4 linked regions of the Sus scrofa genome follow. The main gene of each other region encodes a partner of the protein of the gene in region 4 in a complex. Links are inferred from orthologs where the notes say so. Each region holds a gene or a part of one and is shown on either strand. Other genes may lie near its edges. The genes, in order: ARHGDIA, RIPK2, TRADD and NGFR.

Evidence for each region.
Region 1: the proteins of NGFR (region 4) and ARHGDIA are in contact, whole or in part, in an NMR structure (PDB 8X8T), measured with the Homo sapiens proteins. The link is inferred for Sus scrofa from reciprocal best matches to the Homo sapiens genes NGFR and ARHGDIA. Residues at the interface, in NP_002498.1 of Homo sapiens: Arg274, Trp275, Ser277, Cys278, Lys279, Gln280, Lys282, Gln283, Gly284, Ala285, Ser287, Arg288, Pro289, Val290, Asn291, Gln292, Thr293, Pro294, Pro295, Pro296, Glu299, Lys300, Leu301, Ile307, Ser308, Val309, Gln312, Ser313, Asp316, Gln317; in NP_001172006.1 of Homo sapiens: Ala8, Glu9, Leu11, Ala12, Gln13, Ile14, Ala15, Ala16, Glu17, Asn18, Glu19, Glu20, Asp21, Glu22, Val25, Pro30, Ala31, Gln32, Lys33, Ile35, Gln36, Glu37, Ile38, Gln39, Glu40, Leu41, Asp42, Lys43, Asp44, Asp45.
Region 2: the proteins of NGFR (region 4) and RIPK2 are in contact, whole or in part, in an NMR structure (PDB 2N83), measured with the Homo sapiens proteins. The link is inferred for Sus scrofa from reciprocal best matches to the Homo sapiens genes NGFR and RIPK2. Residues at the interface, in NP_002498.1 of Homo sapiens: Gly334, Leu335, Ser338, Leu339, Pro340, Lys343, Val347, Ser354, Ala355, Asp357, Arg360, His361, Gly364, Glu365, Tyr368, Pro370, Ile373, Asp374, Leu398, Asp399, Leu401, Leu402, Arg406, Arg407, Ile408, Gln409, Arg410, Ala411, Asp412, Val414; in NP_003812.1 of Homo sapiens: Gln437, Ser465, Arg466, Asp467, Leu468, Met470, Glu472, Asp495, Ile496, Gln497, Gly498, Glu499, Glu500, Lys503, Ile523, Leu524, Val526, Ser527, Arg528, Ser529, Pro530, Ser531, Leu532, Asn533, Leu534, Gln536.
Region 3: the proteins of NGFR (region 4) and TRADD are in contact, whole or in part, in an NMR structure (PDB 7CSQ), measured with the Homo sapiens proteins. The link is inferred for Sus scrofa from reciprocal best matches to the Homo sapiens genes NGFR and TRADD. Residues at the interface, in NP_002498.1 of Homo sapiens: Glu345, Glu346, Glu348, Lys349, Leu350, Asn352, Gly353, Ser354, Ala355, Glu379, Ala380, Cys381, Arg384, Glu420; in NP_001310481.1 of Homo sapiens: Thr201, Phe202, Asn211, Ala275, Glu276, Arg278, Arg279, Thr281, Gln283, Arg284, Glu287.

What each region holds. Positions count from the first base shown.
Region 1 is NC_010454.4:1,112,248-1,116,249, forward strand, and holds the start of ARHGDIA (rho GDP-dissociation inhibitor 1), read left to right. Parts: upstream 1-1,147; 5' UTR 1,148-1,194; intron 1,195-1,426; exon of another isoform or gene 1,427-1,450; intron 1,451-1,524; exon of another isoform or gene 1,525-1,764; intron 1,765-2,613; exon of another isoform or gene 2,614-2,744; coding exon of another isoform or gene 2,745-2,789; coding exon 2,790-2,979; intron 2,980-3,084; coding exon 3,085-3,168; intron 3,169-3,395; coding exon 3,396-3,472; intron 3,473-3,551; coding exon 3,552-3,615; intron 3,616-3,710; coding exon 3,711-3,910; 3' UTR 3,911-4,002. UniProt on the Homo sapiens protein: Controls Rho proteins homeostasis. Regulates the GDP/GTP exchange reaction of the Rho proteins by inhibiting the dissociation of GDP from them, and the subsequent binding of GTP to them.
Region 2 is NC_010446.5:47,072,332-47,076,446, reverse strand, and holds the start of RIPK2 (receptor-interacting serine/threonine-protein kinase 2), read left to right. Parts: upstream 1-1,313; 5' UTR 1,314-1,929; coding exon 1,930-2,102; intron 2,103-4,115.
Region 3 is NC_010448.4:27,797,052-27,799,394, forward strand, and holds the end of TRADD (tumor necrosis factor receptor type 1-associated DEATH domain protein), read right to left. Parts: intron 2,272-2,343; exon of another isoform or gene 2,057-2,271; coding exon 1,779-2,056; exon of another isoform or gene 1,698-1,778; coding exon 1,523-1,697; exon of another isoform or gene 1,380-1,522; coding exon 1,069-1,379; 3' UTR 543-1,068; downstream 1-542. UniProt on the Homo sapiens protein: Adapter molecule for TNFRSF1A/TNFR1 that specifically associates with the cytoplasmic domain of activated TNFRSF1A/TNFR1 mediating its interaction with FADD.
Region 4 is NC_010454.4:25,709,359-25,712,920, forward strand, and holds part of NGFR (tumor necrosis factor receptor superfamily member 16), read left to right. Parts: intron 1-1,128; coding exon 1,129-1,488; intron 1,489-3,562. UniProt on the Homo sapiens protein: Low affinity receptor which can bind to NGF, BDNF, NTF3, and NTF4. Forms a heterodimeric receptor with SORCS2 that binds the precursor forms of NGF, BDNF and NTF3 with high affinity, and has much lower affinity for mature NGF and BDNF.

The sequences.
Region 1 (4,002 bases), about 25 Mb from region 4:
AGCTGTGGTGTAGGTTGCAGACACGGCTGGGATCCTGCGTTGCTGTGGCTCTGGCATAGGCCGGTGGCTACAGCTCCAATTCAACCCCTAGCCTGGGAACCTCCATATGCCGCGGGAGCGGCCCAAAGAAATAGCAAAAAGACAAAAAAAAGACAAAAAAAAAAAAAAAAAAGAATAAATAAAGTAAAAGGCACTTGGGTTACTGGAAAGCAGTTTGGCAGCGAGGCAGGACGCCCGGCTCTGGCGTTGCAGCTTCCAGTAACAGGACGCCTGCGAAGCACATCCCAGGAACCAACCAGCTTGGAATGCTCTGCCTTTGGCCAGCTCAACTTTCTACACAGAAAGCTGACAGTATTCCCCAAACTGGCGCAAGTTGAGACATTTCCAAAAATACTAAGATCAGTATTTCGCAGTTCTATCGCTTCTACCGCCTAACAAGCCGATGCGCCATCCAGGTGAGCGTACGTGACCGCGCCGTGGAGCGGAGGGCTTGGACCCCACGCGGAGAGACGAGCGCTGGGGGCCCTCGGCAGCGCGGGCTCCATCCCGCCGGCCACAAATCACGCGCGCCCCCAGCCCCGGCGCTCCGGGTGGAGACCCCGGGGGACGGTGGCGGCTGAGCCAGGGGCTTCCGGAGTCACGAGCGGCACAGAGCCGCTCCCGATGCTGAGTTTCTCTTCGTGAAGGAGCGCTCCCGGCAGGGCGGCCAAACGCTGACGGGTCTGGAAAGGAAGGAAAGGCAGGGACGGCGCGCTGGTTTCGGGGACGGGGGCTGCCCGACTAGCGCGTCCCCGCGGTGTGACGGCTGCGTGCCCGAGAGACACGCCTGCGCCTCGCGTGCCACGCCCACCGTCCGCGAGCCACTGCCTCGCCCCTTTAGCTTGCGGGTTGACCCGCGGGGACGCCCCGGACCAGGAAACGCAGGTGCCAAAGGGCGCAGAACCCCAACCCTACCGGCCTCCACAGGGCTCCCCGCTCGCTGCCCACGCGGGACGCGCCCACAAGCCGGGATCTCAAGATGGCCGCGGCGCGCTCCCAGCAGCCCCCGCGCACGCATGCGCTCTCCGGAGCCCGCCCGGCGCGAGCGGAAGTCGCGTGATCCCGGAAGTGGCCGGCCGGGCGCGCGCGGGTGGGGCGGCGACGTTCGTCATTCCGTGCGGGAGGGAGCGCGAGAGCGGCGCGGTCGAGGCTCCGGTGAGCGCGGGCGGCGGGGCCGGCTGGTGCGGTGGGCTAGCGGGCGGGGCAGCCGCGGAGGGGGAGGCGGGGGGCCGCGCCTTTGTTCCCGCCGCCCGCCCCGCCCGCCCCGCCCTCCTGCCTGCCCACCCGAAGGGTCTGCGCTGGGCGGGGGCGGCGGTGACAGCGGGCGGCGGCCGGGGCGCCGGGGCAGCCCACGTGCGAATCGGGGACGCCGGAGGAGGGAGGCGGCGGCGAGGGAGCTGGAAGGCGAGAGGTGGGGGCGTAGGGGCCGGGGGCGGGAGCTGGGGATGCACAGAGGTGCAGGCCTCTTTTGTGGTCGCAGCTCGTGCTCAGCGGCTCCCTCCTCGCCGGTGCACGCCAGCCTGCTCCGGCCGGACGCCCACTCGCCTGAGCCGTGTGGCCCCCGCGCCCCACCCCGCGCGCCTGCCGCGCCCTGTCCAGATTGCGGGCCCTGCAGGAAGTGCGCGCCGCGCGATCGCACTTAGAGGATCCTGTCGCCTGCGGCCGCGCTTGAGTGGCGTTAGGGCGTGAGCTTTCTAGAGGAATTCCAGAGGAAGCGACTAGGAGGTCTGGAAATACGGGCCGGGCCCCACCCTGCCTTCGGCGGCCGGGTGGTTCCGGGTCCCCCGCGGCCCTTTGTGAGATCTTGTCCGCGCGCACATCCCGGCTTTGGCTGTCTTTACGGACAACGGCGGCCCTGACCCACCTCCCACACCACCGAGTCGGGTCCGAGCGGGTTTCAGATACTGCTCGGGGATTCCGGGGGGGGTATGCGATGGTCATTCTTAGTGAAAGAAGACCAGTGGCTGCCCTATGCACTGCTCCTCTCTTTGATGGCACTGCTGCGAGCTCTTCTGGGCGAGGATCCCGAAGGGGGCTCCTGAAATTCCCACACGTCTAGAGCAGTTTCCAAATTCTAGGTCTCTGAACCCTCACAGCTGGAGATAAGGTTGGCAGACATTTAGGGTCCCTCGTCCATTTCAGGATTTATCTGTGCGACTCAGGCTAGCCCTGTCATCTGAGCCTTAGGAGAGCCTTGTGTTTGTAGGGTGAGAAAGAACTAACTTGTAGCCTGCACAGACATTTAGGACAGGCCTGAAGGAACAGACCGATCAGCAATAGTCAGTAGGAGGGATCTCTTGAGGTGAGCCCCTGGGCGATTCAGGACAAGCAGCAGGACTTGGTCCTGACCCTGCTAGGTAGGTCTGGGGTGCTGCTGCTTCCTGGAAGCAGGGGAGCTGTCCCTGGTCTTTGCAAGGGGCAGGCTGGGGCCTCTCTAGCCCTGGATACTGTGGACCTGGAATTGGGTCCCCTGAGGTGGGCAGGATGAGGAGGTGAAGGTGGCCCTTCTGGGCCTCGGGAGACTGTTTCCGGGCCCTTTTCGACGTTCTGGCTGTCATGGCCTTCCTGTTACAGAGGATGCGCCTGCTCTTGGGCCCACATGGAGGCTTGGCCACCTGTGGAGGAAGATCCAACACTGATCACCAGTGGGACCTGCAGAAGGGCTAGAAGGGGCGACGCTGGGTTCCTCCAGGCTGCCACAGCCCATGCCACCCTGCCCACAGGTGTCCCAGACCCCGCTAGAAGAGAGCATGGCTGAGCAGGAGCCCACCGCCGAGCAGCTGGCACAGATTGCAGCTGAGAACGAGGAGGACGAGCACTCGGTCAACTACAAGCCCCCGGCCCAGAAGAGCATCCAGGAGATCCAGGAGCTGGACAAGGACGACGAGAGTTTGCGCAAGTACAAGGAGGCCCTGTTGGGCCGCGTGGCCGTGTCTGCTGGTGAGTGGACAGGAGCGCGGGTACCCGTGGCTTTCCTGGGTGTCTGCCGCTATTTACCCCCCCCCCCCCCCCCCCGCAGAATTCTAACTTGCGATCACTTTGCAGACCCCAACGTCCCCAATGTCGTGGTGACCCGCCTGACCCTGGTGTGTAGCACTGCCCCAGGGCCTCTAGAGCTGGACCTGACAGGTGAGTGGCCTCTCCGAGGTTCCTGGCTGGGGCCGCAGCGGTCGGCTGCTTCCGCTAAAAATAGTTTCTCGGGCTGCTGGCGCCCTCTGCTGGGGAGCACAAGAAGTGCAGCCGAGTCCTCTTACAGGGGTTGTGGCTTTTCCAGTCTTGCGTCTGGGGTGCCCAGGATGGTGGGAGGTGACTTCCTTTGGGTGAACTTCCTAGCATGGTCTTTCTCTCAAATTCAGGAGATCTGGAGAGTTTCAAGAAGCAATCCTTTGTGCTGAAGGAGGGTGTGGAATACCGGATAAAGATCTCTTTCCGGGTAAGGCGCCGGCGTCGGGGAGGTGCGGGGCCTGGGTGGGAAAGCCTCGCTGAGCCCTGCTCGGGGTGCCTCCCTGCAGGTGAACCGAGAGATCGTGTCGGGCATGAAGTACATCCAGCACACGTACAGGAAGGGGGTCAAGAGTGAGTGAGCGGGGCCCCCAGCCCCCAGGAGGGAGGGAGACCCGGGGGGTGGGGAGCAGAGCTGCCTCCTGACGGCTGTGTTCCCTGCATCGCAGTCGACAAGACCGATTACATGGTGGGGAGCTACGGGCCCCGGGCGGAGGAGTATGAGTTCCTGACGCCCATGGAGGAGGCGCCCAAGGGCATGCTGGCTCGAGGCAGCTACAGCATCAAGTCGCGCTTCACAGACGACGACAGGACCGACCACCTGTCCTGGGAGTGGAACCTCACCATCAAGAAGGAGTGGAAGGACTGAGCTGCGGCCGGAGGGAGGCGGGCAGGGCGGCCGAGGTCGAGGACGTGCCCCCCCACCCCCCCCATCCCCCGGACCCCAGACCAAAGTGCCGC
Region 2 (4,115 bases), on a different chromosome or scaffold from region 4:
AGCATAAAATCATTATTATTGAGAAATCCAATGCCATTCTAATTCCCATTCATTTTTTTGTTTCTTCCCTCCGAAAACTTTTGGAATCTTTTCTTTCTTAGGGTTCTTATCTTTTTATTGATGTGTTTTAATATGTATCTTTATGCAAACTATTACATTTAGAATTAATAAGCAATGAGGTCCTACTGTACAACACAGGGAACTATATCCAATTTCTTGGGGTAGAGCATGATGGAAGACCATATGAGGAAAAAAAATGCACATATAAGTATGACTGGGTCACTATGTTGTACAGCAGAAATTGACATAATACTGTGTATCAACTATACTCTAACAAAAAATGTAAAAAATTTTAAAGATATAGGTCTTTTTTCATTCACTGTGAGGAGCTAATGGGCCCTTTCAATATGAAGACCTTTGTCCTTTGATACTGGAAAAATTTCTTAAATTGTTATTTTGATCATTTCCTCTTTATTTACATTTTACTCTCTTTGGAACTCTTTTTTAACTGGATGAAAGAATGAAAGGAAAAAGTTTTCTGAGCACTTTTTGAGCAAAAAGCTTATTAAGTAATAAACCACAGATTATCAGACCATATCTTTGAAGCTAGACATTTTATTTTGAATGATCAAATTTTAAAACACTCTCATTACAGTTTCCATTTATTGTAAAATGTAACATTGCCACTATCATTTCAGACAATACAAAAAAGGAAGCACCGATTCTCTTTAGGCAAAAATCTCTCATTGAAATCAGGCATTCCTTATTACTTTTGTCTTAGAATTCATTAAATGTCTGGCATGATCTTGGTATTGCATATATTTGCACGCACACTTTGCAAAATAGTCATTTCAGTAGAAAAGTGTTTAAGGTAAAAAGATGAACAGATGTTTGCAGTTTTTTCTGACTGACATTAAACACTGTTTTCTTCCCAGATCTATAAGACAAGCGTTTTCAGTCTTACCTGGAATCAGAGGGAAGGAGAGACTGAAGGTTATTTTTCAATCTCTGTCTATAATTGTGGACTTTGGGGGTGGGGGAAGGAGTAAGAGAAATAGGTCTCATAGTGAACTAAACAGCTGAACTTTTTGTCGGGGTTAAACTCCGACAATCCACCCCCTCAAGACTGAAGTAGCTGGAAGTAATGGAAGATTGGAGTTCAGATAGGCAGGTAAATTTACCCCTATCTGACTCACTGGGTTCAAGAGCTGAGTCCTGGTTAGTCACCACTGCATTCCCTCAAAGCACATTCTGCGCAGGCGCACAGTCCTAGTTGTCAGTCATCACACCCGCCCCGCCACCCCTCCGGGGTTTAGCGACTCCCGGAACACTCGGGGCCCAGAGGAAATTCCTCCGGGGTAAGGGGGGGGGGGGGGGGCTGCTGCCCGGTATGAGGCTGCAGAGAGGAACTGTGCCCAAAAGCAAACTTTCCAAACCTAGCAGGTGGGGGGAGAGAAGACAAAATTGAGCGCCTCTGGTTCCCTTCCCCATCCCAAGCCCGCCCGTACCCCGCCGAAGCGGCACGGGTTTTCTGGGCGCCACCAGGCAGAAATCCTGGCCTCATATCGAGGCCGGAGCCAGCTGGAAGGACCGCGGGCTGTACCGGGGCCCTCTTCGTCGCTTTAGCGTCAGTCGCTGACGTCGACTGAGAAGTCTAGGGAGGGAGGAGCCCCGAAGGGCGGGCTCTGGTGGCTGCGCCTGAGAGGAAGCTCCTCCTCCACCCGCCCAGCGACCCCAGTCTCTAGAGGAGTACTCGGGCTCGGGAAACGCTGCGGCTTGGTGTGGGCTGCTCGGGGAATGGATGACCTCGTGACCTAGCGTCCAACAGCGGGGAGGGCTGGCCGCCCCGAGCGCGCTGGGACGGAGCCGCGGGAACAGCGGGCACACCCGGAACCGGCTGGTGGCCGAGTGCCCGCGCCGCCCGCCACCATGAACGAGGAGGCCATCTGCAGCGCCCTGCCCACCATCCCGTACCGAAAGCTCGCTGACCTGTGCTACTTGAGCCGTGGCGCGTCCGGCACCGTGTCGTCCGCCCGCCACGCAGACTGGCGCATCCAGGTGGCCGTAAAGCACTTGCACATCCACACCCCACTGCTTGACAGGTAAGTCTCCCCAGCGGTTCCCCCGCGGAGTCCCGAAATGTATGTGCCCTGTCCCCTCTGGCTCCAACCCTGGGCTGGCGGGCTCTTCTGCCCAAACGACGGTGACCATGGAGTCGGCCCTACCATTCGTCACTGCTAGGCAGCCCTTCAAGGCTCAGGGCTAACCTGATAGGGAAAACTGGCTTCTCTGAAGATGCAGCAGCCATCGCACTTCTTTTCACAGCCTTCTCTCCTTGGCCTTACTTTCTCCAGGCACCAAAAATCTGCAGTCACAGCCCAACTCTAAACGTCCTCTTTACTGAAATTGGATTTTGTTTGCTTTGTTTTCACCCCTTCTTTTCTGTTTTTGTTGTTGTTTTTTGGGGTTTTTGGTTTTTTTGATTTTTTGTTTTTTTGTTTTTGTAGATGGGTTTCTACCCAATAGGTAGCTCTTAACCATAGGTGGCTTTTGAGCACTTGAAATGTGGCTTTCTGAACTGAAATGTGCTCTAAGTGTAAAATACACAGCAGATTTCTACCACTCACTATTGAAAAAATTATATATATCATTAATACTTTTATATTGATATGCTAAGATGATATTTTTGATACACTGGGATAAATATATTAAAGTTCATTTCAGGTGTTTCTTTTTACTTTTAAAGTGGCTGCTAGAAAATTTTTAATTGTGTGGCTCACATATTTTTATTGCACAGCATGGCTCTAGAGTCAGGGATGTTTCAGTTTTGGCTTTTTATTGTTGTTTTGGTTCGCTACATGTAGTCATGAAAGTTTAGATATCAAATTCAATTCAGTTTGGTTTCTACCCTTAGTCTCACAGAGAAGGAAGCCTGTCCCTAGAGGAAATACATATTGTTTTTTGCTAACAATAAACCAAAATCAGAAGATGGTTATATGACCAAAATTTTTGAATGTCTTTCAAATCCAGCAACAATATTAGTGCAGTTGTCCAGTTTTTAAGGGACAGCTAGCAATGGTTTCTGTTTCCAGAAAAGTCTTTGAACCATATGTATTAGTCAGTGATCTAGTCAGCAGTCTTGTGTATTTTCTTTCCAACAGGAATTTAACTAGGCCCTGTATTCAATTCTTAGTGAGTTAACATTCATGATTGCAACATTCTCCTCTCCTCCTCCCTGTGTCTAAAGTGAAAATACATCATGCTAGATGCCTGATTGGCCAGAGGCTGTAGGCATCCAATAGCAGATTAATTCCTCAGCTTCAGCACTGCTAATATTTAACTTTCATCTGCCTGGGGCTTTTCTTTGCTCTCTTGTTGTCAGGCTTGGATGGACTAGATCTTACAGTAAGTTTGAGACATCTTTAGATATTTTTCACACTTTTTGTGTACCATAATCCAGACCTACTGATATACAGGGTGTGTTTATCCTGGGCCTTGAATTCTGTGGAGCAGGTCCTGGGCAATGTTGTGTATGTGAATGTAGTCAGCTCTGAAGAGTGGTGATTGATTAAAGAAGGCGGACATATTTTAGAATCAACTGTTTTAAAATGTAGAAGTCTAGTACTTATGTACTCATTAGGTATTTTAAAGCAAATTGATCCATTTTGGATCTGCTTCTCAAGATTTTAATTTAAGTTTTGTGCCATTTGGGGCCAAGAAATGAAGATGGAGTTTCCTTTCCATGCTCATTAACAATTTTTATAATCTAAAATTCTTTACTAAATTTGGAAGGAGACTAACTCTGTTGTCAAAGAAACCATAAAAACCAGTGATACGCTTTGGCATTACTGCATCACATTTTTTTCTCCCACTTATTACCTAGAATGTTAACATTAGCAGTATTTTGGTAGTCTGAGCATAGGGCTAGGCTGTGCTGTTGACTCACAGGTGTCTATTTCCTCACTTGTAAAGCCAGGCATACAAATACATGTACTTCTTGGGCTCTGGTGTGGATAATGTTTGCTTTGTTCTTTGGAATCATGAAAGAAAAATAAATTTATGTGCTGTCACATGTTCATTCTTATTTTAGTGATTGGTGAGTTCTCTATAACCTG
Region 3 (2,343 bases), on a different chromosome or scaffold from region 4:
CAACTTGTCCCAGACAAAGCAAGCACTTCACCTCCCCCAGGACCCCTATCTCGGCAGGCAGCTCCACCCTCCACCCAGCTGGCAAAGGCAGAAACTTTGAGGTCCTCTCCACCAAGCTTGTTATCCTTTGTCCTGAACAGCTCTCAGGGTTCATCCCTTCCCTCCATCTCTGCTGCCAGCTGCTGCAGTCTGGACCACTGTCCTCTCTCAGTCTGCATCCTTACCAGCCTCCCAGCCTCATCTACCAAAACCCTTTAAAGGCTTCTCATTGGCCTCTGGATAAAATCCAACTCAAAATGGCTTACCAGGCCCCATGCCATCTGCCTCCCCCACTCACCAACAGGTCTCTGCAAATCCACCTACCCCTAGAGCCAGCCAGTCTAAACCTTCTCAGTCTAAGCCCTCCCTCTCAGCTTCCTTAAGACCTCAGCTGAGTCTGGCCATGCCCAGAATATTGACTTTCTCTTCCCCTCCCCCCATTCATACTCATTTCTCTCCCAGGAAGTTTCACCCCTGCTCAGCTGCAACCCCAATTCCTTGTATTTTTCACATCAAAAAGTGGGTAGTATTTTATTACTGATGCTTAATATTCAGAGTACCATACTGAGTGTCAACTGGGAGCAGGCAGGATTCGTGTATCTTGTTTCAGCACAATATTTGGAACACTTAAGATGATGCCTAAGATACAGCAGGTCCTTAATGAATTAATGAATAATAATTGTTCATTCGGTGAATGAAGAGGTAAGGTCTGGCTGAAAGCCCCTCTTCTGGGGTGGGAGAGGGTGAGGCAGACTTCTGCAGCAGGTCACCAGTTAACTCTGTCTCTATCATAGTATTTAGAGCAGAACCTCCAGCAGGCATAATGGATGCTTGTCCGTCTCCCGGAGAGGGCAGTCACCTCTGCCCAGCAGCTCCAGCAGCTCAGCGAAGTGGGGTTGAGTGTCATCTCAGAGTCCCATGGATGGACAGAAGATCAGCAGTAGCAGCAGAAGGGAACCTATGGTCATCCAGGTGCCCCAAACCCTGGCTGGGCAACTGGCTGACCACCCTCTTTCTCTGGTACTCAGTCTAGGCCAGGCTGCCATCGGGATTCGCCAGGCCCAGCAAGTCTTCTGCCAGGCTGGTGAGCTCGTTCTCCTCAAGGGCCTCTACCAGGCGCTGCAGCGTGGCTCGGCGGCCCTCGGCCTGCACAAAGCGCCGCAGCAGCTGAAAGGCCTGCTCGTACAGCCCTTCGCGCTCGTATTCATAGGCCAGTGAGTCAAGAGCCGGGTCCCGCAGCGCCCGGCAACCACGCTGCAAGGAGCGCCCCACCTTGCGCCACTTGAGGCCCACTGAGCGCGCAAACGTCAGTTGGTCCTGCAGGCTCAGCGGCCGGTTCACTGCAGGGGGAATGGGAAGTGGCGTGAGCTGGGGAGAGGAGACACTTCCATTCCCACCCTGCGACTATCCTGCCCAGACCTCGCCCCTCCCCAGACTCCATCCTACAGAGGACCCAGCCTTTGCCGCTCTCCGGGCACCTCACCGACAGGCTGACCCTGGAACAGAAAAGTCTGGCCAGACGGCGGTGGCGGCAGCTTCTCCGCAGTAGAGGTGGCTGGAGCGCCCTCCACGTCACCCCCTTGGCCCCCTGAGCCGCAGGTCAGATTTCTGAGCGCATCCTCCAACTCTGTGAGTTCCTCATCCCGGAGCCGGTCAGGCTAGGGAGGAGAGTGCGGCATTGGTGGGGTCTTAGCCTCGGATCCCCACCCCACCTCACCCTGGCCCCAGCCCGGCCGCACCTTCTGGGCGAAGATGAAATTCAAACAGCGTTCCTCGTCTGTCAGCAAGGCGTCCAGCCGCTCTGCGCTGGCGCGCAGCTCCAGTTGCAAAGGCACGGAACTCAGGGCCAGAGCAGCCTCCAAGCACGCCTGCAGAGCGGTGCGCAGTGCCCCCTCGCGGTAGGCCCGGAGGAAGCGGCTGCAGGCCTGGCGCCCACAGAAACGCAATTGAACAATCAGCTGCGGATCGCTGCGGTGAATCTTGAGCATCTGCAGCTCCTCCGGGCTCCCGCCACTCTCTGCGGAGGCGGGCAGTCAGGCACCACGAGGTCCCCTATCGGGCCCGTTCTCCAAGAGGCCAGAGGAGGAACGAAGCCCGAGGTCAGACTCCCTCCCTATCCCCAGACCTGGGGGCAAGGGTATAACCCAGAGCTCCCAGCAGGGAAGCAAAATTGGGAGGCAGACAACAACAACCCAGAATAAAGGCCAAGACCTCTCACAGAGAGCACCTTAAGACGGAGTGGGTGTCACTTTAGCCCCGTCCTTGAATCCTCAAATGAGGGTGGGCACAAGGGATGTGGGAGAC
Region 4 (3,562 bases):
CCCCTTAAGCTACTGTCCCTTTCATTTCAAGAGAAGTGAAAAGCAGAGATGCTTTTCTCTTCTTTGCTTCTCCAGCCCCACCCTCAGCCGCCAAAATAATGACCCTGCGCTCCATCTTGGCTCTTGATGCCTTTAGAGAAGCTTAAGATTTAGGACCCCCCTGCCCCCAGCAAGCTTCAGTTTCCCTCCAGTGGGCTCCTAATATCTCTACCCCTGCTTCCGCCTTCTGGGCAGTCCTCCTACCCCAGTTGTCAGGTTCTAAACCTGTGCTCTTCCAGCCTCTTGGATTCAGTCTGGCGTCAATTTCTCCACCTTGGGCTGGAAGGGGTGACGTTCTGGCTCTGTGCCTTCCTGCCTCTTTGCACGAGGATGCAAGGACTCTGGCATCCCCAGCACATCCATGCCCTGATTCTGGAGCTCCCGCCCCTTAATTGAGCGTGAGTCAAGCATGAGCTTGAAAATATTTCCCTCGTGCCATTTGAAAGGGCGCTGGACTATATGTGCAAGTCCTTTTTCTTTCTAGCCCGGATCCCTCCTGCTGTAGCTTTCGTGCCAGGAGTCCATCCCTGCCCTCAAGAGCCAAGCCCTTCTAGCAGCCAGGAGTAGCAGCGCCGTGGGTGGGAAATTCTGTTGTCTAACCCTAGTCACTCCCATTCAGGACACACCTGCTCCCACCTGTGCCGAAAGGGATGGAAGGAGGCTCCCTGGGGAAGGCCGGCTGTGCCTGGGCTGGGTTCACAGCTCAACTCTGGCCTGCAGGGAGGGCTGGATGGGAACCATGCTCAGATTATTCCTTAATCACGCTGGGAACTCTTTAAAAGAGTTTGTCCAAAAAATGTACCAGCAGTGGCTGGGTTACCCCTGGGAAACCCCAGGGCCAGAGCTTCCGGGGTCTGGAGCTGGGGGCTCTCGGCTCCCTTCCTCCTTCCCAGGCTCCTGCCACCAGCTTTGACCCCAGGGGAGGGGGTGGGAGTCAAAATGGGGGGAGCGGGGCGAAACGAGGGGGTCAGAGCCCTGGCCCTGGCCGGGGATGGGGCAGGAAGGCTTCCAGCCTCTGCATCCTACGTGCCCCCAAGGAGAGGAAACTAAACTGGGGCGCAACTTCCCCGCGCGTCCATCTGTCCTCAGGCGTGACCTTCTCGGACGTGGTGAGCGCCACCGAGCCGTGTAAGCCGTGCACCGAGTGCGTGGGGCTGCAGAGCATGTCAGCGCCCTGCGTGGAGGCGGACGACGCCGTGTGCCGCTGCGCCTACGGCTACTACCAGGACGAGACGACCGGCCGCTGCGAGGCGTGTCGCGTGTGCGAGGCGGGCTCGGGGCTGGTGTTCTCGTGCCAGGATAAGCAGAACACCGTGTGCGAGGAGTGCCCCGACGGCACGTACTCCGACGAGGCCAACCACGTGGACCCGTGCCTGCCCTGCACGGTGTGCGAGGACACCGAGCGCCAGCTTCGCGAGTGCACGCGCTGGGCCGACGCGGAGTGCGAGGGTGAGTGTGCGCGGAGCGGACCTGGGGCAGGCAGGCTGGGTCCTGGCCGGCAGGACAGCCCTGTGGCCTCGAGCCAGCGGGCATCCTCCCAAGCCTTCCCACCAAGGGACCCCGTCCACTATTTCCGCCTTTGGGCTAAGTGGTTGGAAAGCCATGCGCCTCCTCCCAGGCCCCACTCCTTTTCCAAGGCTTTATTAATCTGTGGCTACTGACTGGGGATTGGAGGGGTGACAGTTAAGCAGCCCAGAGGTGGCCTCTGTGTGCAGAGGCACAGATAGGACATGTTTGATCCTTGAGGCCGACTCTCTGAACTGGAGGAGGGGCCCGAGGGTCCTGGGGGTTGGGCGCTTAGTGGTTTATGGTTCTGGGACCTGGGATAGAATCCACCCTGTCCCTTACTATCTGCTTGAAGTCAAGGAAGTCACTCCTGCCTCTGGACCTGTCTCCTTACTGGTCATCGGGTTTCCAGGGTTGCTGTGGGTTAGGGAAGGGGGCTGGCTCCCTTCCCCTGGTGGGAGAGGGGTCAGCAGTCACTGGTACAGTTGAGTCAAGGATGAAGTTGGACCCCGGGAACACACACTAAGTGGTTGTGGGGATAGGAGCTTGGGGACAGAGAAAGAAAGGAAGCAGCAGGCCTGGGGCTCGGGAGCCAGAGGACGAGACAGGTGCACACAGACGGCCCTTTGCCTCCCCCCACTCCCCCCACACCGGGGTGGATGGGAGCTGAGGGTGCCCACCTTCGCCAGATGGGGGCAGTTCCTGGGGTGGGAGGAGGACACCCTGTGGCAGCCAGGACAGAACTGTTTTGGTCTCTGGTTGGGGACATCCATCTTGGGGGAGAGACTGACAGGGCCTTTGCTTTCTGTCAATCACCCCATGGCTGGGCACACATTTCGCTCTTTCCCCTGGGGACCCAACCCTCAGGGTGGTGCCCTCACTCTGAGCAGGCGGCACCGAGCCTCCACCAAGGAGCCCTGAGTTGGACAGGACACAGACGGCCTTTGCCCGAGTCTGATGAGGGAGAGGCGGTCCCAGCACTTAGTTCCTGGGAGATCCTTCATTCTGGCGGAGGCTGCATTGCCCCCCTGCCCCAGTCAGCCCCGAGTCGCAAGGGAGTGATAGAAGCCTGCCCGGGGAGCCTCTAGTCTGACACACCCATGCCTTCCTTCCACATCCTGTGATCCCCCCCCTTGCACAGGGACCTCAGGGTGGAGAAGGCTATTAAGCTGGGCTGAAGCCAGGTATGTGTGAGAAGCTTCTTCCTGTATTCAGATGTGGGGTCAGGGTGGAGGAGCAGGGGCGGGGGGGAAGAGAACAAGGGGGTTCCGGTGGCAATTGCCCTGGGCCAGGAGACAGGCAAGTAGCATCAGGCACAGAGCAGAGCAGGGAGGGAGTTTCAGCAGCCTGCAGGCGGGCAGGCGGGCAGCACCGGTCTGCGGGCAAGTCCTGACCAGCTGGCAGGTGGGCAGGCAGGGGCTCAGTTAGAGCAAAGGAAGGTGGTGGCTGGGGGAGGGGGGGGGTTCTGCTTTTGGGGAGTGGGCTTTCCCAGCCACCCTGAAGGGGGGCATTTATCTCTGTTCCCCACCCCCACCCCCGGTTCTAGCCTCTGAAGGGGTCAATGTCAGCTCTAGGGCAGAGGGAACGTTTCTGGAACTGGAATTTGATTCCTGCTTTGGTTGCCCCCGCCTCTGCCCCAGTGCAGGGTACTTCCTTGCGCATTCATTTCAGGTGTCAACATGGTGACTCACCCACCCTGGGGGCAGAAACACACCCCCCTACCACCACCACCAACCAAAGAAAGTTGGGTTTAGGAAAGGTAACCTGGTCCCTCCTTCCACCCCCACGCCTGACAGCTCCCATTCCGGAAATGGCTGTCAGGACCTGCCGAGGGCTTGGTGGGTTGGAATGCTAGTGGACATGGCCACATCTGGATCTCATCCCCTGCTTCCCTCCCAAGGGGGGGCGGGGGGTATAGATTGGAGAGATGTGGGGAAAGCACCTTGGAAGGCGCTGTCTTCAGCCTGGTCCATCCTCCGCCCTCTCTCAGCTCTTTCCCACTTCTCTCCAATCTCTG